4 linked regions of the Lonchura striata genome follow. The protein of the gene in region 3 purifies or fractionates together with the protein of the main gene of each other region. This does not show direct contact. Links are inferred from orthologs where the notes say so. Each region holds a gene or a part of one and is shown on either strand. Other genes may lie near its edges.

What was found.
Region 1: the proteins of SKP2 (region 3) and CCNA1 purify together in Homo sapiens (affinity purification with western blotting; 4 studies listed by BioGRID). This does not show direct contact. The link is inferred for Lonchura striata from reciprocal best matches to the Homo sapiens genes SKP2 and CCNA1.
Region 2: the proteins of SKP2 (region 3) and FOXO3 purify together in Homo sapiens (affinity purification with western blotting; 3 studies listed by BioGRID). This does not show direct contact. The link is inferred for Lonchura striata from reciprocal best matches to the Homo sapiens genes SKP2 and FOXO3.
Region 4: the proteins of SKP2 (region 3) and USP18 purify together in Homo sapiens (affinity purification with western blotting; 4 studies listed by BioGRID and IntAct, with this or other methods). This does not show direct contact. The link is inferred for Lonchura striata from reciprocal best matches to the Homo sapiens genes SKP2 and USP18.

The regions. Positions count from the first base shown.
Region 1 is NC_134604.1:65,660,936-65,668,232, reverse strand, and holds the start of CCNA1 (cyclin-A1), read left to right. Parts: upstream 1-4,291; 5' UTR 4,292-4,394; coding exon 4,395-4,526; intron 4,527-5,587; coding exon 5,588-5,831; intron 5,832-6,047; coding exon 6,048-6,169; intron 6,170-6,840; coding exon 6,841-7,064; intron 7,065-7,297. UniProt on the Homo sapiens protein: May be involved in the control of the cell cycle at the G1/S (start) and G2/M (mitosis) transitions. May primarily function in the control of the germline meiotic cell cycle and additionally in the control of mitotic cell cycle in some somatic cells.
Region 2 is NC_134605.1:69,784,077-69,791,238, forward strand, and holds the start of FOXO3 (forkhead box protein O3), read right to left. Parts: upstream 3,009-7,162; 5' UTR 2,994-3,008; coding exon 2,400-2,993; intron 1-2,399. UniProt on the Homo sapiens protein: Transcriptional activator that recognizes and binds to the DNA sequence 5'-[AG]TAAA[TC]A-3' and regulates different processes, such as apoptosis and autophagy.
Region 3 is NC_134642.1:37,835,083-37,842,048, forward strand, and holds the start of SKP2 (S-phase kinase-associated protein 2), read right to left. Parts: upstream 3,001-6,966; 5' UTR 2,910-3,000; coding exon 2,902-2,909; intron 2,625-2,901; exon of another isoform or gene 2,517-2,624; intron 2,264-2,516; coding exon 1,998-2,263; intron 489-1,997; coding exon 377-488; intron 98-376; coding exon 1-97. UniProt on the Homo sapiens protein: Substrate recognition component of a SCF (SKP1-CUL1-F-box protein) E3 ubiquitin-protein ligase complex which mediates the ubiquitination and subsequent proteasomal degradation of target proteins involved in cell cycle progression, signal transduction and transcription.
Region 4 is NC_134607.1:13,675,927-13,683,625, reverse strand, and holds the start of USP18 (ubl carboxyl-terminal hydrolase 18), read right to left. Parts: upstream 3,008-7,699; 5' UTR 2,777-3,007; intron 2,132-2,776; 5' UTR 2,103-2,131; coding exon 1,934-2,102; intron 1,288-1,933; coding exon 1,191-1,287; intron 1-1,190. UniProt on the Homo sapiens protein: Interferon-induced ISG15-specific protease that plays a crucial role for maintaining a proper balance of ISG15-conjugated proteins in cells. Regulates protein ISGylation by efficiently cleaving ISG15 conjugates linked via isopeptide bonds.

The sequences.
Region 1 (7,297 bases), on a different chromosome or scaffold from region 3:
CTCAGACTTCACAAGCTACTGCTAAAAACACCATTTTCTGGAGCTAACACAAGGACAGAAAGAATATATGTAATTTTACATCCCTTCAGATGTGAGAGCCCTGAGCCATGCAGCACCTCACAGACCTCTACTCAGGGCATATGGTATAGGTCCCATCCTGTAGAAAGGTTCCCTAACATTTTGGTTTTGTGTCCTCTTATAGAATTTTCTTAGACAAAAAATAATGTATTCATCATATCTGTTGTCAAACAACTATGTTCACATGAGAACTTGCTGCTCTTCTTTAAGATAATGCCAAGGCCACACAGGTGGTGTATTAGAAAACACAGAGTGGGAGCTGCTTGTGGGCTCCTCTGTTACCATCACCCTGCTGAGTTTATCCTGAAGGACAAGCTGTACATGCAGCACAGGGCAGCACAGCCTGCTCGGGCTGACACTCATGGATTGCTAACTCTCTGATGCAAAATAGTCTTCTGGTTAGGACTTTCACAACCCCAAAAGGGAAAACCTTGCAGCTGTTCAAGGCTTTAGGCTTTGCTTCCCTGCTGTGGGCATCAGCTGGTGCTGTGTCACACTGGTAGGTTCCTCTGCTCCCTGAAGTGAGCTCTGCCTCTTATCACACATGAGACAGAGTGGCAAAGGATTGTTTCTGAAGCGTCCCTGTATTATCCAGCATGAGGGCAATGGGATTTGCAGGCAGACTGTGCTTCCAGCTTAGGCAACCTACTAGGATAATAAAGATGCAGAGTGCATCAGGCTTCTCACAGCATCAACCACACTATGTACAACACAGCTGCAAGCACAGAAGACAGAAGCAAGAGTCCTGATGTAGAGGGAACAAGATGCTCATGGCTCTATCTGGGACATAGTTCAAATGCCTAGTACAGACAGTGCAAAGTGATCTATCACCCTGTATGTGAAGAGCTGGTGGCTCAAGACTATGTCTTGGTCTTGTTTGTATGCCTTGGCCAACAACTCCTGAGCCCTGTACTTATGTCCTACTTCTTGACCATTTTTCCAATTTTGGTGGTTCAGAAAAACAGCAAAACTCAAGATACAGTCCATGTATGCTTAAGTAATGTGAAATTAATTTACTAGTAGGATAATTATAACACACTTCAGCCAGGGGACTATCCACAACCCAAGGAATCATAGCCGTGTGAAAGAAGTAATGTTCTCCACTGCTTTGCTACTTTAAGACCATAAAACAAGGTCCTGATAGGACCTTGCACATCACTGAGTTCAGACACTGCTCTCAATGTCAAGAAGACTTCATAATTCTTTTTAGAAACTTTCTGACTCTAAGACTGCTCCTACAGCACATTTTCCAGGGTGTTATGCAGCTGTGCATCAGATTTGCTATTCAGGGGGATTTCCATTGTCGCTTTGCCATAAAGCTGACCTCAGAAGAGTCTATGCCACACATGGACCTGCTGTGTGGTTTCTCAATGCATTGGCCTGGAAAGACTTGTCAAATACTGAATGTGACCTGGCCAAAGTAATTATAAGTGTCTAACCTTCCTGAATGTGTTTTCCAATATGAGTGCCATGTTGTAATTCAATGTGAGACTTGGAGGAGCAAGGCTGGAAAGTTGCAACACTCTTCCATGAACTGATTCTCATATTACACCTGCACTTAATTGTAAGACTATGACTTTTATTGTCAGCAATGGTGCTACTCCCAGGCTGCAGACCAAATAACTATTTAGGCCAAGATGAAAGCCCAGGGATTAAAGCACCCTAGGAACCAAAAAATACTTCAAAGGGTGAAGAGAAAAGGGGACAGCTGACAGTGGTTTAATTTGTGGGCAGAGGGGTCCATGCCCCAGATTGTGAACTGAAGCCTGCACAGAGCTTGCTGTGTAAAAACTGGGAATTAACTGTGATTTTTAGAGAAAAAAGCAGAAACCAGTGCCTGTTCCCACAGCATGGAATAAGACCCTTTAGCTGAAAAAAGCACCAAAGCTGGACAACATTTGAAGCAAAGACCACAAAAAGGAGAAAGAACTAAGGATCTAGGAAAGGCTGACAAGACAAAAAAGTGCTTTAACACTATCTTTTCTGGAGGCACAGAGGAGGGAAGCACCCCTGCCAAGTCAGGAATTGCTCTGACTTCTCTGTCTTCCTAGAAAACATCAGTAAGACAGTGATTACTGCAAGAAGCCCTAGGAGTCCACTCAGGAAGGCTTCAGCTTCCTCTCAAACACACAGGGAAGCTCGGAAGCAAATGACTAATGGCCCAAAGCTTTATTTGATTTGCTGCTACAATTAAATAGTGGCTGGCAAAGCTCACTGGCCTCCCTCAGGTACTAATCTATACTGGGCTGTTTCAAAGAGTTCCTGAGAAACTGGTGCTTAGATAACCTCATTAAAAGCATTTGAGAGGCGTTTCAGTTACATTAATGCACAATATGGCTAGTGAGGATAGCCATCTGCTGCTCATACATAAAAATATGAATAAATCATCTGTTGGCTAGCTGAGGTTCCTAAGTTATATATAAATGGAATAAAGATATGATGGGTACTTGGATATAAAGAGTGCTCACAGAGTGAACATTAATTTGGTAATTCCATAAAACAAAAGGATAAGGAGTGTTTGAAGTTCCACTTAGGCTAATATTTGATTTCAAAGGCTGGCAACTAAACTAATTTCTTTTCAGAAATTAAAACCTGGCACAAAAATGTTTAAATTACTGCCCCCAAGTGAAGTGTTCCTTCTGCAAACCAGGGGGTTAGAAATTAAAGAAAGAGAAGAACATGGATATACAGCATAATCTTCTGTTTTCCTGACTTGCCTTTGCCTACACCTGTAGCCATGACAGATCCACTACAGTAACTACCTACTTACAGCCCTATTGCTGCAAGTATATAGAGCCCCTCCCATCCAAAAGGAAAAATTGCTTGTCATGAACAGGTAACATTTTTCACCTTCAGATATACCACTTGCCCTTTATGGTAAATTCCTTTTTGGGGGTTCAGTGGGAATTGGTTAAAAAATAAATGTAAGAAAATTGTGAAGAAAAAATGTAGCCCTTTAATGCAGATTGGATCAGAAGAACTGCAAAAAAAAACAATTCTGGCAAAAGATCCTGCTTGATATATCCAAATTTTGGATCATATCTTCTACATTTCAATCCCTGGAGAGCATCTCAAGAAGTATCACTTCTACATTTCAATCCTGGAGAGCATCTCAAGAAGTATCATCACTGCCAAGGCACAGACAGTTTTGACAAAATTCTCTTTAATTTGCTCTTACAAATCTGTAATAAGGGAAATTCTTAAATTTCCCGTGCTGTCTCTTCTGGGGCATCACAATTCTGTCATCTAACCTAAATCTCATGCTGAGGTTTCAGCTGCAGTAACTCTTGCTCTTTTGTCTTCACTATGGACTTTCAGAGAGCTCATGTGCCACACATGCTATATACTCCTGTTTGTTCCTGCTCGGCCAGCTATGCCCCGGTGAATCATGCCCAGGCTGAGGTTGACTGTAACATCCTCTATCCTCTTCACCGAGCTGCTACTGGCTGCTCCCCATCCTGGCTCTGCATCCACTGGCTCTGACCTTGCACTTGTGCTTCAGGAGCATCCTGATTTTCCCGAACATTTCTCCAGTTTCCTTAGATCGTTTCAGAAATCTAATCGTGTTCCCCAGCATGGCCACAGCCTTCCCACAAAGTGAGCAAACGCGCTGCCTGTATCACTAGCCACATCACTGGTGACAAACTTTGGTGGTTTGAATGAACCGCTGTGTTTCCCGTGCTGGCAGCTGAGCACTGCTTAGCCATGCAATAGCCGCGCCAGGTCGGCACCTAGCTGTCCCTCGGCTTGGACTTATCACGGGAGTCAAACCCACCCTTAAACTAAAAGCTCCTTTTTCTTGCGCATCCTTTATCAAAGGCTTTATGAAGTCCGAGCCCAGCTGTTCCCACAGAGCCGCTGCTGCTGCGCATCCCATCCTTGGGAGCGCAGGCGGAGCGGCCGGGCGGCGGGCCGGGCGGCGCTGGCAGCGGCGCTCCGCGGGCGCTGCGCGGGCCGGGCCGCCGGGGTCTCCATGGCGACCCGCGGCCGGCGGGGCGGCGCGCCGGGGGTTGAGCGGCCGGGCTGCCAACCGGCCGCGGCCAACAGCCGCCGCCTCCAGCGGCCGCGCCTACCGGGGCCGGCGGGCGGCCTGGGCGGCGCAGGGCGGCCCGTCCCTTCCGTGGGCTGGTGGCGAGCGGAGCCGGGCAGCGCGGTGGGGCACCCCTTATCCGGCGGGGCGGGCGGGAGGAAGGGGTTGCCGGGGGCGCGTTTGTGGTCTTTCGAAGGATTTTTTATTATTTTTTCCCCCCCCTCCGCGAATTCGTTTTATTTCTGTGGGTTTTTTCGCTCCTCCGAAAGGTACGGGCGTCGGGGCGATGCATCGCACTGGAGAGAAGAGCCGTGCGGGGCGGCGGGAGTCCTGCCCCGCCGCCCTGCGCAGCAGCGGCGGCCGGGCCGTGCTGGCGGTGCTGACGGAGAACGGGCAGCAGCGGCGGCCCGGCGGCCAGGTGAGCCCCGCGGCCGGCAGCACTGCCGCCCCCCGCCCGCAGAGCCCGGCCGAGCAGCCGCCGGCATGAGCGGTGCACGCACCTGCCTCGAGGCTGCCGGCAGAGGCCCGGCGTGGCGGGGTCAGAAGGTGACTCGGACTCCAGTTCTTAAGCGTGAGTTTCCCGAGAAACCCTGCTAGTAACCGCTCAGTCCTAACCTGCGGGTGCTTCCCCGTGGAAGTACTCTGCGTAAATAATTCATCCTGGAAGGAAGGGATATGCTTCTCGACAGCTTCCCCTCCTCAGTGTAGGGGGTGGTTTAAAGAAAGGCTGTCCACTGACCCAAAGCTCTCCTTGGTGTGTGGCTAGCCATGCTCAGTTCAGGGTGCCAGAGCCTTCAAGAAGTTCAAGTCAATGACGTGTCATTTTTCTGCCTTTCTGTCCCCTGAGTCCCCTGGAGTCTGCTGGTGGGGCAGGGATAATGTTACTCTTCTGACCTAAAACAGCAGCAAGTATGGGTACACAAATTCTTCTTGGTTTTGGCTGTGTTACTAGCAGAAGATGGTGTGAAGGATTGTAGCCTGGTCACACATGGTTTGAAGGGTTGCAATGCTTAAGCTCAAAAATTCAAACTTCAGTTTGAATACTCAAACTCTACTTGAAATGCCTTCTTGCTGGTGCAGTCCTTCCTAAGTCTGTGGCAGTGCTTGAGCACTTTTGTTAACTTGCTGCACTTGCAACTGCTCCTTGCCAGAGCTGAATGTATAGCAGACTGGACTTTCTAGCCCCTTGGAACTGAGCAGCACCCACGTTGTCCTTGGTGGGAGGCTCTGAATATGATGCTGCTCCCCTGGTTTCCTGACTTTTGCTACTCTTAAGTTTTTCTGTGAGGAGTCTGTCACAGCAAGACAGCAACAAGTGGCACCAACTTCAGAAGCATCATAGGTAGTTGGTGGCTTTTCCCATTAACTTTTGTCATTGGTGTCTGTTACACAGAAAGTGATTTTCTTTTTGCAAACACGTGACACACTGTTTTCCTCGTAAGTTGCCCTCCCACAGTGTTACTGTGTGCTCTGCTTCAGGATGCTGCTGTTATCAAGCGCTTCTCTGGCTTTGGAAACATCATCCCCTCCTCTAGAAAAGACGAAGTGCCCAGCTGCATGGTCAGTGCTGTATCAAAGCAACGTTTTGCTATCTACAGAGATGACCCAGAAGATAAAGAAAACTACAGCTGCCAAGTGTCTGAAGAGCTGGAATTAAGCCACTGTGAACTGGATACCAGTGCAATGACATCCAGTATTCACCGGCTGCTGGATCTGAGTTCAGGTAACTCCTGTTACTGCTCAGATGGTGTCCTTAGCACAACCACATGTAGGGTGGTTATGAGTTGTGAATTGTAAGTTAGTGTGTAGATTATGTGACAATAAATAACACTAGAAGCTAACTTGGATTGTGAAGGGCAACACTTCTGAGCTAAAATTAGCGAGAGAAAGTCAAGAGATTAATTATACAAATGTCTTGCTGCTTCCTATTACCTGTTAGGCTCTCCTATGGTAGTGGACACATCCTTCCAATCCCAGCCAGAGGATCACATGGAAGATGTTGTAACTCTGGCTGTGGGAGAGTATGCAGAAGACATTCATCAGTACCTCCGAGAGGCTGAAGTAAGTTGCTATGGGAAGCTTTTAGGTACCTGTGGTAAGCTGCAATATTGCAAAGATTCAAGGCTGCCACTGAACTACAAAGAAGAGAAATAGTAAAAGTAATTTCTTAAGGCAGCATATAGTCAGTAATAAGTTCTTTCAGGATTAATGCATCCCTGTTAATTCCTGATGGGAGCATCTCTTGACTGTTAGGTATGAAGACTTCTTGCAAATGGGAGAAGAATGCTGAAAAAGTGCTAAAGCAGTTTGATGTGATCTCACTGATAGCTCTCTGGCTATAGCAGTACTTATTCTTACCTTCCTGTGTCAGAGCACTGAAGTGCAGTCTCCTGATGGGAAGAAGGGGGAAAATCTGATTGGTTCATTTTCAGATCCTTCTGAATGGCTCAACTGATGGCAAAGGCTGTCCACAGTCCAGGAAGTGCTTTACTATTCTCCTGCTAACACCAGAGTTTCAATCTGTCTCTTCAGTGTAGAAATACTACTTTCTAGAGATGCCACTAGCTGGGAATAATTGCCACTAGCACAACAATTGTAGTTAGTACTTATATTTATTAAGAGTGGGACAACTCCTGCTCCTTTTAGTGTAAGTATAAAGAATATTCATCAGCTCAGCCATCCATGGTTCTCTTCAGAGTGATCATCCTGATTCTTCAACTCTTTTCAAACAGCTAAGATTTAGGCCCAAGCCCTTCTACATGAAGAAGCAGCCAGATATTACAACAGGAATGCGTGCTATCCTGGTAGACTGGCTGGTGGAAGTAGGGGAAGAGTATAAACTTCGGACAGAGACTTTGTACTTGGCAGTGAACTTCCTGGACAGGTTTCTTTCCTGCATGTCTGTTCTCCGAGGGAAGTTACAGCTTGTAGGAACAGCAGCAATTCTTCTGGCTGCGTAAGTGTTTCATCTTCTGAAATCTTGGTGATCTGAAGCCTATTTTTGGGCTTAGTCTTGTAGTGTAATTTGAATTAGTAGGTTGCTTTTCATGATGTCTCAAGATAGGCTCCTTTGGTACTATTAAAATTAAACATTTACTGTTGAATGTGAAGAACTGTAGTGGGGAAAACTTGTAAGCATTAACACAGGAGCAGAAGCAGCAGCATTACAGTGTTAAACTGCTAGCCTGT
Region 2 (7,162 bases), on a different chromosome or scaffold from region 3:
CTAATGTGAAAAGCTGACATTAGTTCCTGAAGAGTTGTATTCATTACCTGGGAAGGAAACAAAGATGATAATAAGATATAATGTGTTTTAATATCAGGAGACTAAGATGGAGTCCCCATATAAGAATATTGCCTCTGCACAAACTAAACTACTCTACAGCCAAGAAACTGACGTAGTCCTCTTCTGAATGTATACGCACTTAAAAAAAAATCCTAGCCTTGCTAAGGACTTACGTTTTCCAGTTTCAGATGCCTGGCGAATTATTAGCTCCTGACCTCCCCCTGGCCCCTTCCAGTATGCCCCTACCACCCACACACAACTACACCCATCGTTAATGTGACTGAATGTCTTACCCTAACTTTAGAGACATCTCATAATCAGAGGCAGAATTTGCTGCTACCAGTGTGACTGCATGTCCTGAGAAAGGTCATCCTAAAGGCTTGTGAGAAACTTCTGAACTAAATTATAACAGAAGAATCTCAAGGGATCCAAGTTTTTAACATTTTAATTACCTCCAAGTACCAGTTAATGCTGCTCAGCAAAGGAATCAATATCAAATTAACAGTATAAAGTGTCAAAAAAATTGTTACAGTATTAAGGATACTAATCAATGTAAGCACTTCATATTATGGCCCAGATTCTGCTTCTGCTAAAGTGAAAAGGAGTTTTGTCACCAAATTCAAAACAGTGTTACCCCCATTGTTAGGTAAATCTTTGTTTGAATAAGATATTGAGAATTCACTGAAAATTCAAAGTACCAGATAAAAATGCTGGATTTGCCGTAACAGCTGACATCTAAAGCCACTGCTTGTGTGTGAAACCGAACAACTTATGAAGGCACAGGCTGTCATTGGAAGATGTAACCCTTTAGCACATTCTGCGTCACACTTGTAAAGTCAGATCAAAATTCAACATCTAATACACACAAAAAAGCTGTAAAAAAATATGTGTGGTTTTAAAAGCCTTGTCTTCAGCTAGCCATGCCAGCAGTAAACTTTGTGTTTGTATTTTCTCCAGCCTAAGACAAGTCTGTCAACTAAATACTTCCTCTCCTGTGCTTCATTTGGAAGGTAAAAATCATACAGCCGCACTTCAATTCCTAGCAGCAAGTCCTACTCGGGCACCAAAATACATGATAAGGCTGCTAGTACAGAAACTGCCAGAAATGTTTCATCTATACAGCATTTGTGACCAATTTGTATACTGAAAGTTATCACCTGATCCAAATCTAGCTAAATTCAAAGAGAAAATTTAATTTTTTCTATAAAAGCACTGAACTTGCTGGCAAATTTACCTTCAGCCATCCATACAAAAACTCAGTGTCAGATGCTGCTAGTATCGGCCCTCAGCAGCAACTGAACCTTGCTGGGATTTCCTTCTGCAAACAGTATCGGCATCAAGCAGCACCTGCATTTTTGTACAGCTGCAAGTATGTGACATTTTGGCGTCCAACAGACGCTGACAGATGAACAGGAAAACTAAGGAAAAAAAAAAAAGCAGTTCTGAAAATCACTTCAAATGTGCTTTACATGCAGTTCTGGCTCCTGGTAGGCCTTATATGACTCTTTCTTGAGGGTAAAACCCTGCCTGCTTGCAACGTGCTTTTGCACGCGCTGAGCAAACAAGCCACAAAACCAGATATTTTTTTTTTTTTTTTCCCCCTCACTTATTAAAACGGTAGTACTCTTAGCTGCTCACTGTCGCAGTGCTGGACAGAAAATGCTGGGACTATCAGTAGACGGTGCTCTCATACACTGGAAACGTAGGAATCACAAACCACGCATTCCAGGGGCTGAACAGCCAATAACTCCATGCTTTGATTAACTTTATGAAGAAATGTCAAAACGCGAATTTCCCTCTACTGCTTTTGAGGAACACATGGGCAAAAAACTGGGGGTTTCCTTGACAAAAATAATAAAGTCTTTCTGTATTTGAGCTTTGAGATGCAGACTGACCATACATCAAAGCAATTCTGCTCGTTTCCAGCATTAACTACCTCCGGTGTTACCATAACTTAAAAAAAAAAAAAGGGCAAAGCAAAACCCACACACCTTACAAATATTTTTCATTTTTCTTACTCTCTCCCTCTATCTTTCTGCTTATGTGCTTTTGCATCACAAAAGTCAACTGAGCTCCAGCGCGTACTCTGCCCTCAGAGTCAATAGCCCTCACCGCTTGTACAAAGCGACAAGAAAGAGACAAAACTTTCCTTAATCCCTCTCCTAAAAAAAAAAAAAAAAGCAAAGCCGACAGGGCGACCACCATCAGCACAACCAGCGCCCGGCGGGCTGCTGTCGGGGCGAGCCGCCAGCACCCCGCTCCGCGGCTGCATCTCCAGGGGCAGCCCGCCCGTCGGGGCGGCGCGGCGGGAGCGCCGCGGCCCCGGGATCCCGCCTCACCTTCCACCCGGCCGAGCTGTTGCTGTCGCCCTTGTCCTTGAAGTAGGGCACGCAGCGGACCATCCAGTCGTAGATCTGGGAGAGAGTGAGGCGCTTCTCCGGGGAGCTCTCGATGGCGCGGGTGATGAGGTCGGCGTAGGAGAGGTTGCCCCACGCGTTGCGCCGCGACGAGCACTTCCTCGGCGCCGCCGCCGGGCCCCCGCTCAGCCCCCCGCCGCCTGCCGCCGCCGCCGCTCCCCCCGGCGAGAGGCTCGGTCCCTCCGGGCCGCCGCCGGGCAGCGGGGCCAGCAGCCGCGCCGCCTCCTCCGGCACGGCGGTGGTCGCCGCCGCCGCCGCCGCTGCTTCTCCGCCCGCGGGAGCCGCGCTGCCGACGGTCATGGCCGAGCCGCCCCCCTCCTCCTCGTCGTCCTCCTCCTCGGGGATCATGGAGGCGGCGTCGGCGGTCGACTCGCCGGCGGGCTTGGCTGGGCTGGCCTGCAGCTCGGGCCTCTGCAGGGGCCAGGTGCAGGAGCGGGGGCGGCTCTGCGGCTCGAACTCGGGGTCCAGCTCCACGTCCAGGGGCGAGAGCGGGGCTGGGGGCGACGCCTCTGCCATCTTGGCCTCCCCCGCGGGCGGCTGCGGGGCGCTGCGACGGGGCGGGCGGGCGGCCGCCGACCCCGCTCCTCCTCCGCCGCCTCCTCGGTGCCGACGGGAGCCTAGCAGGCGGGGGTCTGCCGGGCGGGCATGCCGCGCTCCGCTATGGGCTGGCCGGCTCTCCGCTGCGCCCCGAGCCCCGCTCCCCGCGGGCGATGCGCACGCCGGAGCTGGGAGGCGGGGGGAGAAGGGGAGGGAGGGAGTTAAAAAAAAAAAAAAAAAAAATCAGATTAGGAGCCGGAGCGGCCGCGCAGGGCGGCAGCACGGGCCGGGCGGTGCCGGAGGTGCCCGCGGCGCTGACCTCCGCGCCGGCGGAGCGGCGGCCGCTCCCGCGGTGCGTGTGTGCGTTTGTTTATGTTTCACTCCATGCGGATGCAGAAGTAGCTTCAGCGAGAACCGCGCTGTATCCAGCCGGGAGAAGACCCCCTCACGCCCCCGGTGCCTCCGAGCTCGCTCCTCGTCGCTTCCGCAGATATCTTGCCTTTTGGGGGGGTGGTCCTTCGCGCCCTCCGTCGGCGGGAGGGCAGGGAGAGCGGTCCTTTGGGTTACACCGAAGACTTTTTCCTTCTTCAAAACGCCCTAAAGGGAGCCGAAGTCTTAGCATACATCCAACTGCACACTAGCGTAAACCTGTCACTTTGCAGTGCCCCCAAGCCAAGCGCAAGCAACCCCCCAAAATCTCACAGCCGACGGACGAGGAGGCAGGAGAAGGCCACCCCGGGGGCTGCTCGGTTAAAAAAAAAAATAGTAATAAATCCTCCTTCTTGCAGGGAAAAAGCAAATGCAACGGGAACAAATCAAATCGCCAGTCTTCCAACAGGTCCAGTAGCTTTAAGCCCTCCCTAGGGCTGCCAAAGAGAATACGTTTTGTTCCAGCATCAACACCACATTCATAACCTCCTTGCTCCTGCTGCTGCCATCTTGACAGTTTTTCCCCCCTTCACTTAAGTCATTTAAAAAGCGCAGGCAGACGAGGCAGGCAAAGCCACATCGGGAGGGGCGGGAGACGGCGGGGGGGTGCTGGATCGAGAGCCACCTCCACAACCGGCAGCAATCGAAATCCGAATTCACGGGAGGAAGAAGCAGCGCTGCTGCATGGTTCCTGCTGCTCCTGCGCCTTCAGCTCCAGAGAGCCTTCCCTTTAAAGGCGAAGGATGGGAAAACGGCAGAGCGCCCGCTCCCCCTGCGAGCAGCCGGCGAGAGGCAAGCGATCCGCCCGCGCCCAGCCCGTCCGCCGCCGCAGCCCGCCCGAGCAGCCTGTCACCCTGCTCGCCGCCGACTTCCACATCCCTCCTCCTAACAACCACCGGCAGCAACACAAAGTTATAGACACACGCAGGGAGACTCAACCAAACCGCACGGGTCGGCAGGGCCCGCCCACGGGCGGGCGGTGCCGCGCAGGAGCCGCCCCAACGGGGCGGGAGCGCCGGGATGGGGGAAGGCGCCGGAGCTGGGCGGGCTGGAGAAGCCGCTGGCGCCTGGGGAGGGCAGCGCTTCTCTGCTTGCCGTCCCTGCGGCCCCGGAGCCCTGTCCGGCCGGCCCAGTGGAAAGCGTTCAAACCTCTCCAAGTACCCGGTAAATTTTTCCAAGAGTTGTATTAGGCCTGTTTCTTTTCTGTACTCATTTTCACTGGTCAAAAATTATTAGTGCACACGAGCTGTTCTGGTAAACTTTAAAATACAGAGTCTAATTTAGTAATTTGAAAACTTTCACTCTGCCTGTGGGTGATTCCAGGAACGTGTTCAGACATGTCCACACGTGAAATACAATCTCGCTGTACCTCCCTCTTAGAGGCTATGCCCTAGCAGAAAGCCCTCCAAAGTAGCTCACTTGAATATGTAGTTAATTATGGGTTGAATAAAGGGGTGACCCACAAAACCAAGGAACATAAAAGCTATTAATATGGATGTAGTTATAAATACTTCATATGGCAACTTCTATGTATCAGTTCTTACCCGGCTTGATACCGACCTAGACTGTGGTGGACTAGATTTAGTCCAACATGGTCTCCGAGACAAGATACAATAGCATGGACTGAGAAGCAGTGTGCTTCAGAAGATGTGCCGGATAAAATTAGCAGACAAACTATTCCTGATGTATTGCATTATAGACAAGTAGAGAGATTTGTAAACCATTCAGTTTGATTATAAAACAATCGAGACCCTGATCCTGCATGCCTCACGCGTGCTACTAAGTAAGGCCTAAGGCCCTAAGTGTCTAGTTCAAGAGCCACTGAAGTTAGGAATAGTTTAGTGTGATTTTATTACAAGGGACAGCATTTCAGCATGCATACAATTAATCCCTGGTTGTCTAAATATAGCAAAAGACACCGAATTAATCAGAATAAATGCAGGTTCAAGTAATGGAAATAATTTTCACTGCAACTCCATTTTGGGTCACAATGTTGAGTGCCTTGCCACGGCTTTTGTTGTAACATGGCCCCTACAAAAATGCAAGGCAGCTCAAAAAGACACCAGCCACTCTCCAATTGTGACACTGGCATTTGTGTATATGATTTAGCAGTTGGTAGGGAGGAAAACCACAGTGGCATTGAAGAGCCAGCAACCAAGTTCAGACAAAAAGGTGTGGTGAGAAGTTGCTTAGGCCAACTACATCTCCAAGGAGGCTTTCCTTGTGACGTTCAGCAGTTAGCCACAGAAGGCCACCTGTGAAACTGTGACCGGTGCTCAGCCCTTTCCCAAAACTAGCTACTGCTTGGGGCTGATTTTCACCACTGCAGAAACCTCCACATGGAGCGCATCCCAAAGCTCCAGGGAAGCACAGAACTTTGACCTTGGGCTGGGTTGCAAGCAGCAAATCTAGTCCTAAATGATATTATCATCTTCATTTATTTATTTAATTGGCATTGCATTACTCTACCAGCACTGCTATTAGGTCTCATTGTACTGGATGAAGGGCCTGCACGTGGTAAGAAATGCTCCACTCCCTGGCAGAATTGCAGTCTAAGTGAGGCAGGAGAGGGCGGGAGAAAGGAAGTAACTAAGTAGTAACCCTATTAAAAAGATGATGGACTGAGGCACTGAACAATTACATGACTGTACTGAGGTCATACAGGAAGCCCATGCCAGAACTGAGAAATGACACTGGATCACCTGAGTGCCAGCCTTGAGCAAGATTATCTGTCCTCTTCAGAATTCACTGGTATATCAGTCGCACGACCTTTATCACACGTCATGGTACCAGTTCTTCACAGCTCCGTGCACCACGTGTGTGCCCATGATAATGCAGTCTAGGGGCGTAATTAAAACCACAGTATAATTTTTCCTACACATTTTGCTTATGAAAAGTGCATGAGCAAAACAGAAAGTCACAGGATGTATTGTCATTCCATGGCTGGGGCCTCTGAAATACGCATAAAAACTGATGAAAATTGAATCTAAAGCTTGCACAATTTTCAGTCTCTTCCTTTAAGTACTTTCATGCCCCAAGGGTGGGATTTTCCAAAAGGCTCCATTTATGGGATTTTTATCACTGACTTCAACAGGAATAAAGTTAGGCCAGCCCTCAGGCCATTTGAAAGCCAGCTCACTTACTTTGCCTACTTAGACTGCAAGTGTTTTAGGGCAGGGCTGCTTCTTCCTCTGCATCTCCTTTTATCTGCTGTGGCCGTTCAGGCTGATGTGGGAAACCTGTGCCTATCACGGTATCTGGATTATATGGATCTGGCAGGGTCACAGTCACATGGCAATTGGAGACGTGCAGGTGACATTTCTGGCTTCACCTCTCACACAAATATCTAACTGCAAAAGCAGGGCTGGAGATAAAGTCACATGGGGGGTGGGAGACCTGGAATTTCTTGTCAGTACAGCATTAAGGACATCTCCTGTGAAGTGTACTGCCGCTCAATAAATTAATGTTATATTGCACTTATGTTAAACAACAGCTGCATTGTCTACATGGACCTCACACGAACAAGCATATCATGGGCTGTTTTGTGAGACACCTGCAGCCTGGTCTCTGAGAAGTTTGTCCCCTGTAATAACCCTGTGTACCCCTCCCATCCACACCATGAGAGAGTGGCTCCTTTAGTGTGTTTTTGTTCTTCCCAGAGTTCCCTACTGTGTCCTTTAAACACAGACTGGGCAATAGGCAACAGGCTTTGTGGCTGA
Region 3 (6,966 bases):
GAACGCAGTAACACCTGCAGGCAACAGGTGACCAAGCAGTCCTGGCAGCAGATTCCCACCAGTCAAATCAAGAGTCTGCCAGAGAGATTCATCAAATCTGGGGCATAGAATTTTACTCATTAGTGAATTCAAATGGGTAACAGGTCAAAGCTATGAGTACAACCACAGAAAGTTTTTGGTGTCAAAAACAGAGAAGGGAAAGCTATTTAATAGACTACAATAATGTTAAAACATGTGAGGCATCTTTTGGATATACATACCCACATATGGCCTAAATTGAATTATATATGTATAAATAAGATGAAAACCAGACCATTTAATGGTATATGAAAACAAAGATTTTCCTCAGTGCTAAACGAAGAGAAATAATACTTACGAAAGTCGATGCCATCTCTTGCAAATAGTAGAAACTTTCAGTAAATCCTTTAGGGGCAAACAGGCAAAGATTGCCAGAAGCAATTCATCTGGAAGTGCATCCAAAGAAATACCTGTAGGGAAAGAGCAAAACACATTCTAGTTAAAGCTAGTTCATTTTCACCTTCTGGTCAGATGCCTTGCTTGGTTTGGTTGTTAAAAGCCTCTCTACAGTTTCTCTGTAGGCCACACATCAGCCTACATCAGACATCAGCCCCACTATTCATCTCCCTTGCAGCTTATCATTGTAGGATGACATTTTTACCATCTTTGCCTAGGCATGACTGGTAAATGGAAAGGTTCCTGTAATATTCACTTTGTATACATAGTAAAGCCATGGACACTACTCACATAACTCACTTTGGGAACAAGAGCATCTTAGTTACTGCCTCTGTAATCTAATGCTTGTATGATTTTCTGGGGTTTTTTTCCCCTCTGTGAATGATCATTCTTCCTATGCATGCAAGGGTCCCAGAAGGGAGCTGAAGGTAAGTTATGCTTCTGCATGATACACAGACAAAATCAGGTACTACACACTGCTTCCTAAAACATACATGCTATCACCACTCCAAGAATTATGTAAAACAATGTGGTTCAAACCACAGGGCTTCTCTCTGGGCTCCAGAATGTGTCATGATTCATATGGGAGATTTGAGAATGGTGGAGCTCAGTAACAGCTGCCTTTAACCCAGCAGTGCGTCTTATATAAAAAGAGGATTGTCTGAAGGCATTTCCACCTTCTGTATGACAGCATAATGCCTGGAGAGAGCTGCTTATTTATTTTGCATCCCATACTCATCCAGAGTACAACCGCACTTAGACACCAAGGAAAGAAACCTAGTATTCTCTAACGCCCCTTTCAAGAGTCCAAGAGCCCTGCTCTTTCCCTTTCCAGCACAGCAGGCTGCCACCCTTTGATGTGATTTCCCTCATATGGTTCTATGCCTCTGGCATGGTCCCTCATATTGCTTGTTTCCATCAGGAGCTGGCACACAGCCCTGCTGGCACACCTCAGCCTGCACTCTTTTTACCCTTCTCCTCTTGCCTTCAAACAGGTATTTTTTGGATTGACTTTGGTTTTAGACTGATTGATTTTAGCTTGCTTTTTCTCTGTGCTCTTTAAGCACCTGGTAACTAGAATGAATGTTGCCAACAAACTTTGTCACACTTCTGCTTTTATATTAAGCCTACTTTTGCTACTGATTTTCGAGCGACCTTAAAACACTGATTCACAAACACAGCCCTGCTGGGCTGAAGTGCCACCTATGTCCCATACAGAAGAGCAAACAGGCACAGGGACATGCAACACCATCCCCCAGCACAAACACAAAGGTGCTCATGGGGTTAGGCAGCAGAGAACCCTGTTTTTCATGGGCCACAATTCTGGAGCCAGACACACCACCCCTATTTAAAGGCACACATAAAAGAGGATTTATCACCCCAAGCCTGAAAGCCGCTATATCTGAAAGTGACATTCTGCTGGATAAGAGCAAAAGAACTAACAACAAAGCAGGGCCGACTCGTGATGCTCACTCTCCATCTCTACCAAAGGGTGAGCAAAACCTGGACTAGGGTGACAGTACCTGACTCTGCCTGTCGGAGCAGCCATGGCTGGCGCACGATAACAAAGTCCTTAAAGTCCTTTTCGTTGTCCTTCACCTTCTGCCTTTTTGGAGGAAGACAGGGTGATGACACCAGCAGGTCCTGTGGTGTGTTTTCATTGCCCAGCTTGTCTTTCTTAAGGGCCGACACTCCCATACCCGAGAGAAGCTCCGAGGTCTTGCCGGGGTCCCATTCCAAAGTGGTGGAAACATTAGTGCTAGAGGATGGGATCTCCTGGAGGTGCTTTCTGCAGACACAGCAAAACCCAGAGGCTCTGAGAGTACTGCCAGATTGACACTAAACACAGGAGGGGGATCCTTGAAGCATTTCAGTCACACGTACTCCACATCCATATGCAGGGCAATTAAGTGTGGGATATCTGCGGGCGCTGGAAGCACGAGCGGAGGCCACAGCGCAGGCGTGTGCTCGATCTGGCAGACTGAGGAAGAGCGCGCCTGGGACTGAGCGCGCCTCGCTCCCGGATGGGGCGGGCGAGGCACCGGGGAGCGGAGCCAATGGAGCGGCGGGACGCGGCAGCCTCCCGGCGCCACCAAACCCGCCCGCAGCCGCGACGGCAGCGCGGGCACCGGGACGGGACGCCCGAGCAGGTGGGGGAAGCGCTCCCCGCGGCTGCCGGGATCCCGAGGGCAGGACCCCCCGCTGGCCGGGGACAGCCCGCGGGGCCGCACGCGTACGAGCGATCCCGGCACGGCTCCCATGCCCAGGAGCTCCTTCGCGCTCCCCGGGTCCCGCACCCGCTCCCGGCGCTCCCACGCACGGCCCCCCCAGGCACCCCCGCGCAGCCAGGCCTCCCGAGGGGTCCGTGAGGGCTCCCACGCAGCCCGGCAGCGGAACTCGCACGCGCGCGTCCCGCCGCCCCCGTACCTGTACATGGCGCTCGGAGGTCCGCGCCTGCCGCGCGCCCCGCGCCTTTCAGCACCGCGCTATCCCGGCGCCGGCCGGAAGCCGCGGCGGGGGCAGGAGCGCAGAGGCTGCCGGGAGCTGTAGTTCGCAGCCCTGTGCCCGCCCGGAGGCGGGGCCGTGCCGGGCCGGCGGCAGCGGGCGGCGAATGGCGGCGGCTCCGACGCGGAAGAAGCCGGGAGCGGCCGCCGCTCCGTGTGCCGCGCTCTGAGCCGGGTGCCGGCCGGGATGGTGGGCGGTGGAGCCCCGCGGGGGACGCGACGCTGAGCGGCTGCTCGGCCGTGGTGAGACGCAGCGGGCGGGATGCGGGGCCGGGCGGAGCGGGGCCGCAGTGCCGAGTCACGGCCGGGAGCGGGGACAGGAGCCGGGTTGGGGAGCGGCAGTCCCCGGGCACGTCCCCGGCGACAAAGACGCGGAGGGAAGGATGGTCGCGGAGCACGGCTGGGCGAGGGCGGTCGGTGCGTTGGTTTCCAGGCTCGCATGCCGGGTGTTGCCCCCCGGGCACGTACGGCGGGGCTGTGCTGGTTCCGAGTCCCTGGAGCTCGGTGCTGTGCCGCACAGGCCTGTGCGCACACCGCCGGGCGGGGACGCCGGGGAGCGCTGGCGCATTCCAGCGAGAGAGGTTTTCTCTGGGAACACCTGGTCCTGAGCCTCACCATGCCTTGAAGAGACCCCGCAGTCTTTTCACACCGCGGGACTTTCAGCAATACAGCTCTTCCTGCGTTTTTTACGCTAAACTCCTTGTTTTGAAATTGGTGGGGATGGAGAACTAATTCTGAACACACCTACAGCCTTGCTCTTAGTCAACCACTTGATTGCAGATGCTGTCCTTTGTTTGCTGCATAGCGATGGAGAGACGTGCCTATAAAATTGAGGGTGGTAATGGAGCCCGTAGCAAAGAGCACACAGCTTTCAGTCACATACAGAGAGAGAATGATGTGACTCAAATTAAGATCCAAACAATCTTTCAAAAAGTATTTTTTCACCGTTTCCGGTTTTATCTTAAGTCACGGAACAGTTGTTCAAAGATTGTTTAAGCAGATAATCAGATGAAAAAGAGGTGGACTTTTGGGTAAAAAAAAAAAAAAAAGCTGAGTTTATTTCACCTTTTTTTGCAGCCCCTTTTTCCTTTGTGAGTCATGTAAATCTTTTTTATTAATGTATGGGAAATCGAAAGAGGGTTTTACAAAAAACCCGAGTGTTTTTTAGAATCTGGAAATTAATAAATAGTCTGCCTGAAAGCAGTGTTTGGGCAGTAGTCATTTGACTGCCTTACTGACACCTGCTTTGTGTGAGCGCAGTCTCCCATCAGGCTGGGAGACTGGCAGAATCCTTAACAGATATGCTTTACTCTTTCTAGCCTTTCTTTAAGAATATAATACTGGAGTGGATTTGTTAAATTTGGTGCTATATTAAAGCTCAAAAGTGTGGGGGTTTTCATTCTCTGCTGTTTCATTTAGTAGGTTGAGTTTTCTGTACCAGGCAGAGTTCATTTGTAATGTAGATGTCGTGAATGCAGTTGCTCTTAGGTTGGCAGGGTAATTTAATACTGTTGATAGTAGGGAGTCTCTCATATTTAGGGTGTATTAAGCCTGAACTGAGTCCTTTATGGTGCATTCAGTGTTAGTAGTTGGGTAGAATGAAAAACTGCTGATTTTGTCCGTCTAAAAAGAAGCAGGAAAATCCTAAGCTAACACAGGAGCATGTCCTTATGTTTTATTGCTTAAGTTACACTTCCTGTGCCAGTGTTTCAGCTTTTAATTTTATTTGTATTAATTTGTAGTTGCCTGCTTTTTCAGAAACTGAGTATGCTGATAAGTACTTCTCAATTCATGGTGAGGGCTCTTGTTACTTTGTCATTGTCATTGCTTTAATAGAAGCATCCTCTAAGCCATTGAAGGTTCCACAGTACAAGAGAGCTCTTCTGAAGTGGTTGTTTCAGTACAACATTGTTTTAGCAATTTTGGAATTCCAGCAAGCAGATACTACGTAGCTGTATGCCAATAGTGAGATGGCTGTCTAAATAAAGTGATGAAACAGGATGATAGGTAAGAGGCTTAGCTTTCTTTGAGCTAGCAACCAGGTTCAGTGGCAAATGCTGCTTTCCACAGGAAGGCATGGCTTTATAGCCTGCAGTAATGTATTTTAAGGCCTGATCTAGTAGCACAGGTCCTAGACGTATCTGCATCTGCACTGTTGGATTGCATTCAGTTCACCAGAAGAGCTCTTCTCAAGTATTGCATTTCTCACTTTGTGGATTTTCTTCCATTTAATCGTTCTGTGTGTAGAGCTGGTTTTAAATGGTTTCTATCTAAAAATTTTAAACTGTTACTTTGAAAATGTATATATATTAATTCAAAACAACTCTGTTATTGGTCTTGGTCTTTTGAAAAAATAGCCTTTCTTTTTTGTGTTTTGAGATTAAAATGGGAACCAGAGAAGAACATAAAGATGTAGTTTACTGACAACTGCAAAGTCACTTTTGTCTTTGAAAGTGAGTTAAGTTGCAGTAGGAATCAATTCCCTCTTTACTTTAGAACATTCAGTACGTTTTTATAACACTTCTGGAAGTACACTCATGATAGTAGCTGAGCGCGGCATCTTGCACAAAAACATTTTACCTTTTGTTTTGGTAGAAGCTTTTTAGGTGTGACTGTAATAAAACTTTGTGACTAATGAAGTGTATGCTGTATAATTTTTTTTGTTTACGTAGCAAAAGGTGTGGTGCTAATGGGCACGAAAAACTGCATGCCAGATGGCAGTGCCTTAATGAAGCTGATACTTTTAGAAGCTGTAATTGTTTTGTTATTTTTGCTTCTGCGAAATTAGCTGTTATACTGTAAATTGAAAAGACTTTTATGTGGAAGCAATAATGGTGCAAAAGAACAGTCAAGGACTTGCTTTGAATAAGTGATTGAGAAATGGGTGAGATATCCTGAGTTTTTAATGTACAAATTATCTAACTAAAGTAGAGTACAGACAGATAGTAAGGAGGGGATTTGTCTTAATGGAAGTGTTGATAGTTTTATAAACATGTTTGACAAAAGGCAGGAAAGTAAAAGTGTGTGAATCTTTGACTAGAAACAGGAAGATAACTCGCTGGGGAGAAAAAAGTCACAGAATAATTGTTCCTCTGTGTCCATCAAGGTAGTAATGACTTAACAAACTTCTGAGGTTTTTTAGTGTACATAAGAGAGTTTTCACTGTGTAGTGCCCTCAAGCATTGTAGATCTGCTTAAGCAATTCACTGAGAAATCAGTAAAAGAAACTGTTCACTTTACGAAGTTCTAAAGAGATATAAAAGTAAATAGAGAGGAATTTCAGTAATAGCATTCCTTTTAAATCTCAAGAAAAGTGGAAGTACTGGAAGTCTTAACAGCAAAGCCATAGCAAAAACTATTTCACTTAAATAAAATTAGTGAAATGTTAATCTCATTGGAGAGACAAGAAAGACTGGCCACAGTAATAAACCTTTTAAATAACGCATAAAATGGCTGTGATAAAATGATGCTCATTACAGAGGTCTGAAGCAATTTAAATAAAAATGTAACAAGTCAGTGACATTTTCTGTAATGGATTTGTGCAGCTCACTGTCCCTTTGTGTAATAGCTTTGCTGTGTAAAGCTGTATGAACTTTCTGACAGTAGTTCTGATGGTAAGAGAGTAATTAAAACACAGAAGGACAAGCAAAGCAAAAATACATAATGGCAAACTATACCAAATGAATTGAGACCATTGTTTCTCTGAATAAAGAGAGGAGTAGGAAGGTGAATCAAAATTCTTGACATTTCAAACCTAAAAGAGGTGCATTACAAGTAGACTAACGCATTCTTTTCTGTGTTTTTATGCTCTATTAAAGCTTATGTACAGACTTTAAATATGTATTTAAGGTACACTCCATTAAAAAAGTTGTTCATTAGCTATCCAGAAACATTTAATGTAAACATTTAACCCTTTGAAAAAATTAGTTGATTGCTTCTAAAAGGAGGAAAAAAGAGCAGAATAGAATTTAATCTTGAAATTTGTCCT
Region 4 (7,699 bases), on a different chromosome or scaffold from region 3:
TGGTAGTCAGAGGTTCAATGGAGAAATATCAGACACCACACCTGAAGGAGCACAAGTCAGTAGCAGAGACAGCAGCTCAAGAAGAACCAGAATGGGGACATTTTCATCAAAAAAAGAGAAAAGGATCCCATAGTGCAGGCTGACAGTTCTAAAGTAAAAGGCCAAAATTTTAAGTTGGCTTACTCCTGAAAAAGAGACAAGCCAAGCAGGACCTCAAGTGCTTTCTGGCCTCTAGAAACAACATTAGTTGCAGCCAATTCCAGACCTTTGTTGCCTCCCACTCATTGATGTCCTCACTCTCAACTTGGCCTCAAAATTTCATGGGCACATATATCATAATGCTTGTATTTCAACAATATGCCAACAAAACTCTTAATTCTCCCTAAATTTACAGTAGCCCACAGGTTTTTCTTTCTTCAAATAAGCATGGTAACCTACAATCTACATTATTTAGCTTTGTCCATTTATGACACTTATCATTTCTGCATATCTGAAATCTGTCTTCTTTCTCCTCTGCTTACTAGTGGGCACGTGAGAAAGGACTAAATAGAAACAATCCACTTAGATTACTAAATCTGCAGTGAAGTGAGTAAACTGAAAACAAATCAATCCAGTTCTTAGTGTGGTCAGTAGAGACAGAGAAGCCCAAATCCTCCTCAAGATACTCGTGGACAACAGTCAAGCAAAACTAAGTAATGCTAGGTATTCATGATCTGCAACAACACTTCTCTGTCAGGTGCTAGCCAAGGCAGTCAGGGCCCAGAGGCAAGGGATTAAGATATATTTATGTTTACATGCTTCAAGTGACAAAATCAATAGTGGATATGGCTACATGTGACACACCCTTTATTATAATGGCCTATGAGCGAGCCTGGAATAAAATTACATCCTGTTAGGGAAAGGAGAGAGATACAAGCCATGAAGACTCAGCTCAGGACACGAATCAGAGATGATTAGCAAGTCTGGACACTGCAACTTCTACCTTTGCAGGACCTGTCAGTGCATGACAGACACGACAAGGCAGACACCTTGCTGAGGGACCAAAAGCATCCTGATGGCACCTCAGTGATCCAATACACAGTATTGGATATATATATATATTGGATGTATATACAGTGTATCCCATATAAAAGGAGTAGAGATAACAGTGCAACAATGGAAATATCTCAGGGAGCTCAAACAGGAGGTACCTTCGGAGTATCCTTGTGAAGCATATGTTCATGAGGAACACTTGGAGCAGAGAGTTCAGACAGGAGCTCTGCCCAAGGTTGTACAGTCCAATAGCTTCTGTAGGGGAGAAAAAGATGAAGTGAGGCCTGGGGATAGGTACAAGAAAGGAAAGTGAAAGTTATTTGGAAGTGGCAAACTCCTCTTGTGCACATTCAGTAACTCAGTGTATAGGCTCAGCATCTTGGTCAGGCCTGAAAAAGTGTTCAATCTATTCTTTCGTTGATCAAACAGATAAAATTTGGTTTTGTTTGGCAACTGACAGAAAAAAATCCAAGGAAACCCAGCTAATGATTCTCAGATTTCTCCCAGTTCCTCTATTTTCAGTCCTCTCACAACACACCTCAACATAAAATAGAAGAACAGGAGGCAAAGGCTGCCTGTATGAGGAGAATAACCAGAGCCTAATCCATGGTTTGACAAATCCAGCACTTCTGGCTGTGTTTGGAAAGAGACAGAACCAGCAACTAGGCCTTTTTGGCTGCAATGGCCAATTTGAGGACTTAAATACAGAAAAAGCTCTGAGATCTTAATGTAATTAATTCTTAAAAAAATCAAAATGGTTACTTAGCAAGGCAAAATGAGAATTATCCTCAGTGAAGAGATGATAAGGAATAGGAGAAAATTAAGCCTATGAACAGAGAACGGAACAGTAGGCAAAAGAAATAGAAAATATGACAGTGAAGAATAGGCAAAACATTATTACCATTTTTTAAGTCTGCCAGACCAAAGACTGATGTCAGCTTCTGGTTTTTGGCCTTCACCTCTTTGGTTTCCTCTTTATTATTTTGTATTTCAATTTCTGCCTCCATGATCTCGCTTGGTGCCACTTCTGGTTTCTTATTTGTTTCTTGACGTCCACTTGTTTGTCCCATTAACAATATTGCTCAAGGACAGAAGAGACCTTTTCATTATGAAAAAAATGAAATCAAAAAAACATTGAATGGTTTGGGCTGGAAAGGAGCCTTAAAGATAATCTAATTTAAACCTCCTGCCACAGGTCGGGATGTCAACCACTAGATCAGGCTGCTCAGGGCCCCATCCAGCTTGGCTTGGAATATCAATAAAATCAGTAAGACTACTGCAACAGCACATGGGATATTTGAATTAACATGGGTATTGAAGAGTGCAGGCTATTGCTAAAGGAACAGAAATGGAGTCTGATGACAATTGCTTATCCTGTCTTCCTCTTGTGGCTAAATAAATAAATGAGCCTTCAATTCCACAGAAACAGCTCCATCTAGCCAAGGAACTCCACATATCCCTGTTCGGAAAGATTTGGTCAATAAGATGATTAAAATTGCCCAAAAGCAGATGTTGCAAAACTCCTCTGTTTGGAAATAAGCCATCTTTTATTTAAAAAAAAAAAAAAAAAAAAAAAAAAAAGTAGCCCAAGTATTGAAAAGGTCAAATTTCACCTTCTCTTCTGACCTGCTAAGCACATTTGGTTTCTTTGCTGGGCTACCTGCATTGGTTTTAACGCCCAAGTCGCAGCACTACTGTGGCACTTTGGACTGTAATTTTGAAACACATTTAAGTACCAACATACCAGTTTCTTTTTCTGTTCCTTCAAGTGATCACAGGCAGAGTAACTGTTCATGCAAGAGAACCATTATAATGCCTTGATTCTTAAGGGAGTATTCAACAGACCATTACTCTGACAGTCTCCTGCGGCTCAGCTACTAAAGCAAAATAAAAACACACAAACAAAACCATCTGATAAGAGTTCAAATGCAACTATGCAAAAATGAAACTTCCTAAAAGCCAACATGGAAACAGAATCAGAAAAGAGAGTATACTCTCTGGGAAGGGTGGGGTGGAGACCCAAAAAATGCTCAGAAGTTATTATTTTACAAATATTAAACAGCTCATAAAATCAACCAAAGGCCAAGCACTGAAAGAATGAAGAAAAGCTACTGAGAAAGGGAAATGAGCAAAATCCTCACTCTGCCTTTCATAAAAAAAAAAAAAAAAATCTTTGCTTTAAAAGCATGTTTTTAGTTTAAGTATGCCTAATAGTGTCAATTATCAAAGTTACTGAAGATTCAGGCAGAAAAGCTAGAAATTGATTTTTTCCCCCGATTATTTCTTTTAAGATTAAGTATACTTATTTCCAATTGTACTTTTTGATTGTTTGCTTTTGAAGATTAGTTTTGATCTCTAAGTGTGGCACACTAAGATTTACCAAATATTGTCAAATTTGCTGGGGTTTTTTTGGTGGGGAAAAAAAAAAACAACAAACAAAAACAACAAACTCTAAAAGGCCATTACTTTTTATACCCAGACCTGGTGATTAGAATAGCTATGCAGGAAAATACAAATTTCATCTGATTCTCTCTTGCCAAAAGAGAGCCTGAACACTGACTGCCCATTTTCCTGAAAATGATGTAATGATACGTTCAAATTTCTGAAAGCTGAGCTGGAGTGGGAGCTCATCTCAGGCTGGTGGGTTTAGCTGGTGTAGAGTCAGCCAGGAGGTAAGGGATGCTCCCAGGCAGTGGGGATGTCAAAAGAGACAGAAAGGAGAGGGACAGGCAGCACAGAGGTAGCTAAACATAGCTAGGGATATATTGGGGATAAAGAAAACCTGCAAGATGCAGGTTTTGTCAAAAAAGGGAGGATTAAGAGCAGGATTAAAGAGCAAACACTGGGCTGAATGACTTCGGGTGGCTTGAGGAAAAGGTAGAAAGATTTTAGGGATCTTAGGACAGGAAGGTGCAGAGGGATACAGGAGGACTTGTGTCCTTGGTTTAATGAAATTTTCTCCCAGTCACCACTATCAGGGATCCTGTTGTAGGAGCAGGGACACAAACAGAATTTCCCAACCCTCGGAACCTCCTCGTTTCAGCTATCAGAAACACAGCCTTCCTAAGACTTGCACTGGACCTCCTTTTCTTCCTGCACAGGTATATAAAAGAGGTGGTGAGTGAGCCAAGGGACTGAGCGCCTGGCTCTCCTCCTGCCCCCCATTTCTCCGCTCTCAGTGGAGGAGCAGCGTCGCTTCTTTGCAGGTCGGGGTAGTACTCGGTACCTCAGCGCACCAGCACTGGGCAGAGATCAGGGAGCAGCGATACCCTCCGCCCCATAATCATCACCTACCCTGACATTCCTCTCCCTCAGCCAGCCCAGCGTCCTCCCTTTCTCCCTGGGCTGCTCCAGCCTCCGTCCGCCCTCCCAAGACACCGGTTTCTCATGCCAGACCCCGAGCTGTCCCTTCACTCCCCGCACCCCGTGCCCGAGCAGAGTTCCCACCTCTGGCGCTTGCTGTCCCTTCCCTCTCAGCTCCTTTTCCTTCCTGGGAATCTCGGGGTGCCGATGGGCTGCCGCAGGGAGGCCAGGTTGGACGGGGCTCGGAGCAATCTATTCTAGTAGAATTATCTCTTCACCTTCTGAGGAAGGTGTCCCTGCCCTCAGCACGGGGCTTGGAACGAGATGATTTCAAGCTCCCTTCCAACCCAATCTATTCTAGTAGAATTATCTCTTCACCTTCTGAGGAAGGTGTCCCTGCCCTCAGCACGGGGCTTGGAACGAGATGATTTCAAGCTCCCTTCCAACCCAATCTATTCTGTTTCTGTGGTCCCCCTGAGGTGCTGGCTCCAGCAGTCTCGGTGTGACCACCCACCCTTGAGGGGAAGGAAGCGCCTAAGAGCGCATCACCTCCACACTTCTCCGGGATGCTCCTGAAAGGAGCACTCAGCTGCCAAACTACTCTCCGTGATTATTCCCCTCTGCTTCCTTCCCTCCTGACACGCTGCGCCTCCGGGCCCCAATCTCACAAACCAGCAGAAGGGCTCCTTACCCATTCAGGCTGCGGGCAGCGGGGCCGGCACACCGCGTCTGCCCGCGGAGGAGCCGCTCCTCCGGGGCAGCGGGAGGAATGCAGGACTCGCTCGGGAGCGCTGCGGGAGCCGGCGGGGCAGCGGGAGGAATGCGGGACTCGCTCGGGAGGGCGGCGGGAGCCGGCGGGGCAGCGGGAGGAATGCGGGACTCGCTCGGGAGGGCGGCGGGAGCCGGCGGGGCAGCGGGAGGAATGCGGGACTCGCTCGGGAGGGCGGCGGGAGCCGGCGGGGCAGCGGGAGGAATGCGGGACTCGCTCGGGAGCGCTGCGGGAGCCGGCGGGGCAGCGGGCGGGGCGGAGCGGCCCCGCAGCGGCAGCGCCCGCCCCGCCGCTCAGTTTTCATTTCCCGCTCGGTCCGGAGCCGGCACAGAAAGTGAAACTCGGAGCCGCCCTGCGCCGCCTCCCGGTACGGAGCAAGCTGCGGCAAAGCGGCCGAGGAGTAGTCGCTGCCGCTTCTTTGTGCCTTAATGCACATCGCTTCGCGTGTGCCTGCCGGGGGAAGCTTTGGGAGGCTAAACTGTGTGTCAAAAGTAGGTTAGAAACTGTTGCAAAATAGCTGATGATTGTTTAGCGCGTGCTGTTAGTTTGGTTATTGTAAAAGGGTAGATAAGAGTATTTGCACCTGAGTAAAGTGCACCAACCCGCCCCCCCCCGCCCCCAGGCGAAACGAGCCAGCCTGGACAGAACTGTAATGGGCCAATCAAGCGCCTTAAACCCTCATGCAAATGAAGGATCCAAACAAAAACCAAACCAAAGGGACAAAAAAACAGCATAAAAAGGGGGTATCTACCCACTGAACCCGTGTGGCTCCGCTTGGAACATCGCGGAAATCACTGCTCAAGAAAGAGGACCCAGTCCTGGCGCTGCAGCATCCTCGATGGGAATACTTCTGCTTGGCCCATGGGCCCCCATGCTTTAGGTCTTTCTTTTTTATATAATAAATGCTGAAATCACTTTTAGTACCAGGAGTGTGGTGCCGTTTTTGTCCACACACAGCTGAGGACAGCAGGCGCTCCCAGCCCTGTGTCAGGAACTTGTGTGCAGCCCCCAGCCGGCTTCGCTGAGCCGTGGGGAGGAGACAGCGCACGGAGGCTTTCAGAGGAGCTCTCTGGAGCCCACCACTGCTGTCCTTGTGAAGTCCCAGCTGCAAACCCTCTGGGCAGGTGATGGGGAACCTGCTCACACTGCCTGCCTCTGCCGGAGGCAGCACAACTCTTCAGTTCTTAGCAGTCTGAGGTCTTCAGTCGAGGCGTAGGGACACTGAAAACTGTCCTGAATTGTCATGAGGGGGTATCTGTAGGGACTTCTGAGCACAAATGACTCAGTGGCTTTGTGGTAGTGACTCTTAGCAATAGTTTAAATTTAGTGATGTTCCCTTTCTATTACTGGCTTGTGTGGAGACTGCCCGAGAGAAGGAAAGGAAGGGAGAGAAAAGAACCGCTAAGCCGTAAATTGTCTACAGAGAATGAAACCACCTGAGCAAAGTGCAAAAGGACACTGGAGGTTAAACAGGAACTAGATCTGCCAGGTGGAAGTCAGTAAAGCAGTGTGCAGTTGAAACAACATTTGATAATGACCCCTATGAGGGCTTGGGTGCTTAGTTAGGAGGAGAATTACGTCTTAAGAAAGTTTTAAGCTTTGCCTGCAGAACTCAGCCATGACACGCCACTTCCAAAGCAGGTAGCAGGAGAAGCCTGAGCCCAGAAATGGGCTCAGATGAAGGGATGGCTCAAACTGAAAGGTGCAGTGTTTGAGTGTCCAAACACAATGCCCCTGGGACAAAAGCTGCTAGCTCCTGGTAATTGCCTAATGTCCAAAGAGCTCCAAAATGTGCATTGACTGCTTCAAGAGCAGGGCTCCTGATCACTGAGTGTCCTTGCAAATAAAATAAATTGTAATCTTGGTGGTCAGGATGAGATCTAAAACTCCTTAGGCAAGTTAAGAAATCCACATCCAGTGTTACGGCAAATCAGCCAACATGAATTGCCTCATCCCAGGCATGAATGTCCCAGTACTTTGAAGAGTTTTCGCAGCTGAATCATTGTGTAAGGGAGGCATGACAAGGACTTATCCCACTTAGACTGAATCTCGGTCGCTGTTACAGGTAAAAGTGATCTAGCCAAATTAATAATTAATAAAAATAAGTTTTTATTCAGCAATCAAAATTCGGTCTCAGACAGCCACAAAGGACAGTGCCAAGCCCAGGATCAGTGCTGGGTGAGACACAGGTCTGACCACTACAGCAGAGGGGCCCCTACATTCACCCTGACCGTCCTGTTCAAGCGGTTTTCAAAGAGCTTATTCTGCCTGAAGCAGTGTTCTTGTGATCAAGCTTTTCTTCCTTTCAGACTCCTACATACCTGTGAAAAATGCATACTTTATGATTGGCTTTTCGCAAATGTTACAATGAATATTATATGTGTAATGTTAGAAAGTTATGCTGTATTAATTCTCTTAAGTAGTGTGTTAAATACAGTTTTAGGTTGCAACATAATGTTGAAATAGAAACTCTACGATGTAAGATTTTTTTTTTTACTGGCTCAAGCAAGAGATGAAATAATCAAGAAACTCTTCATACAGAGATGGCAGTGATTTGGGGCCCATAAAGAGTTACTGCCTCCTTATCAGAAAAGA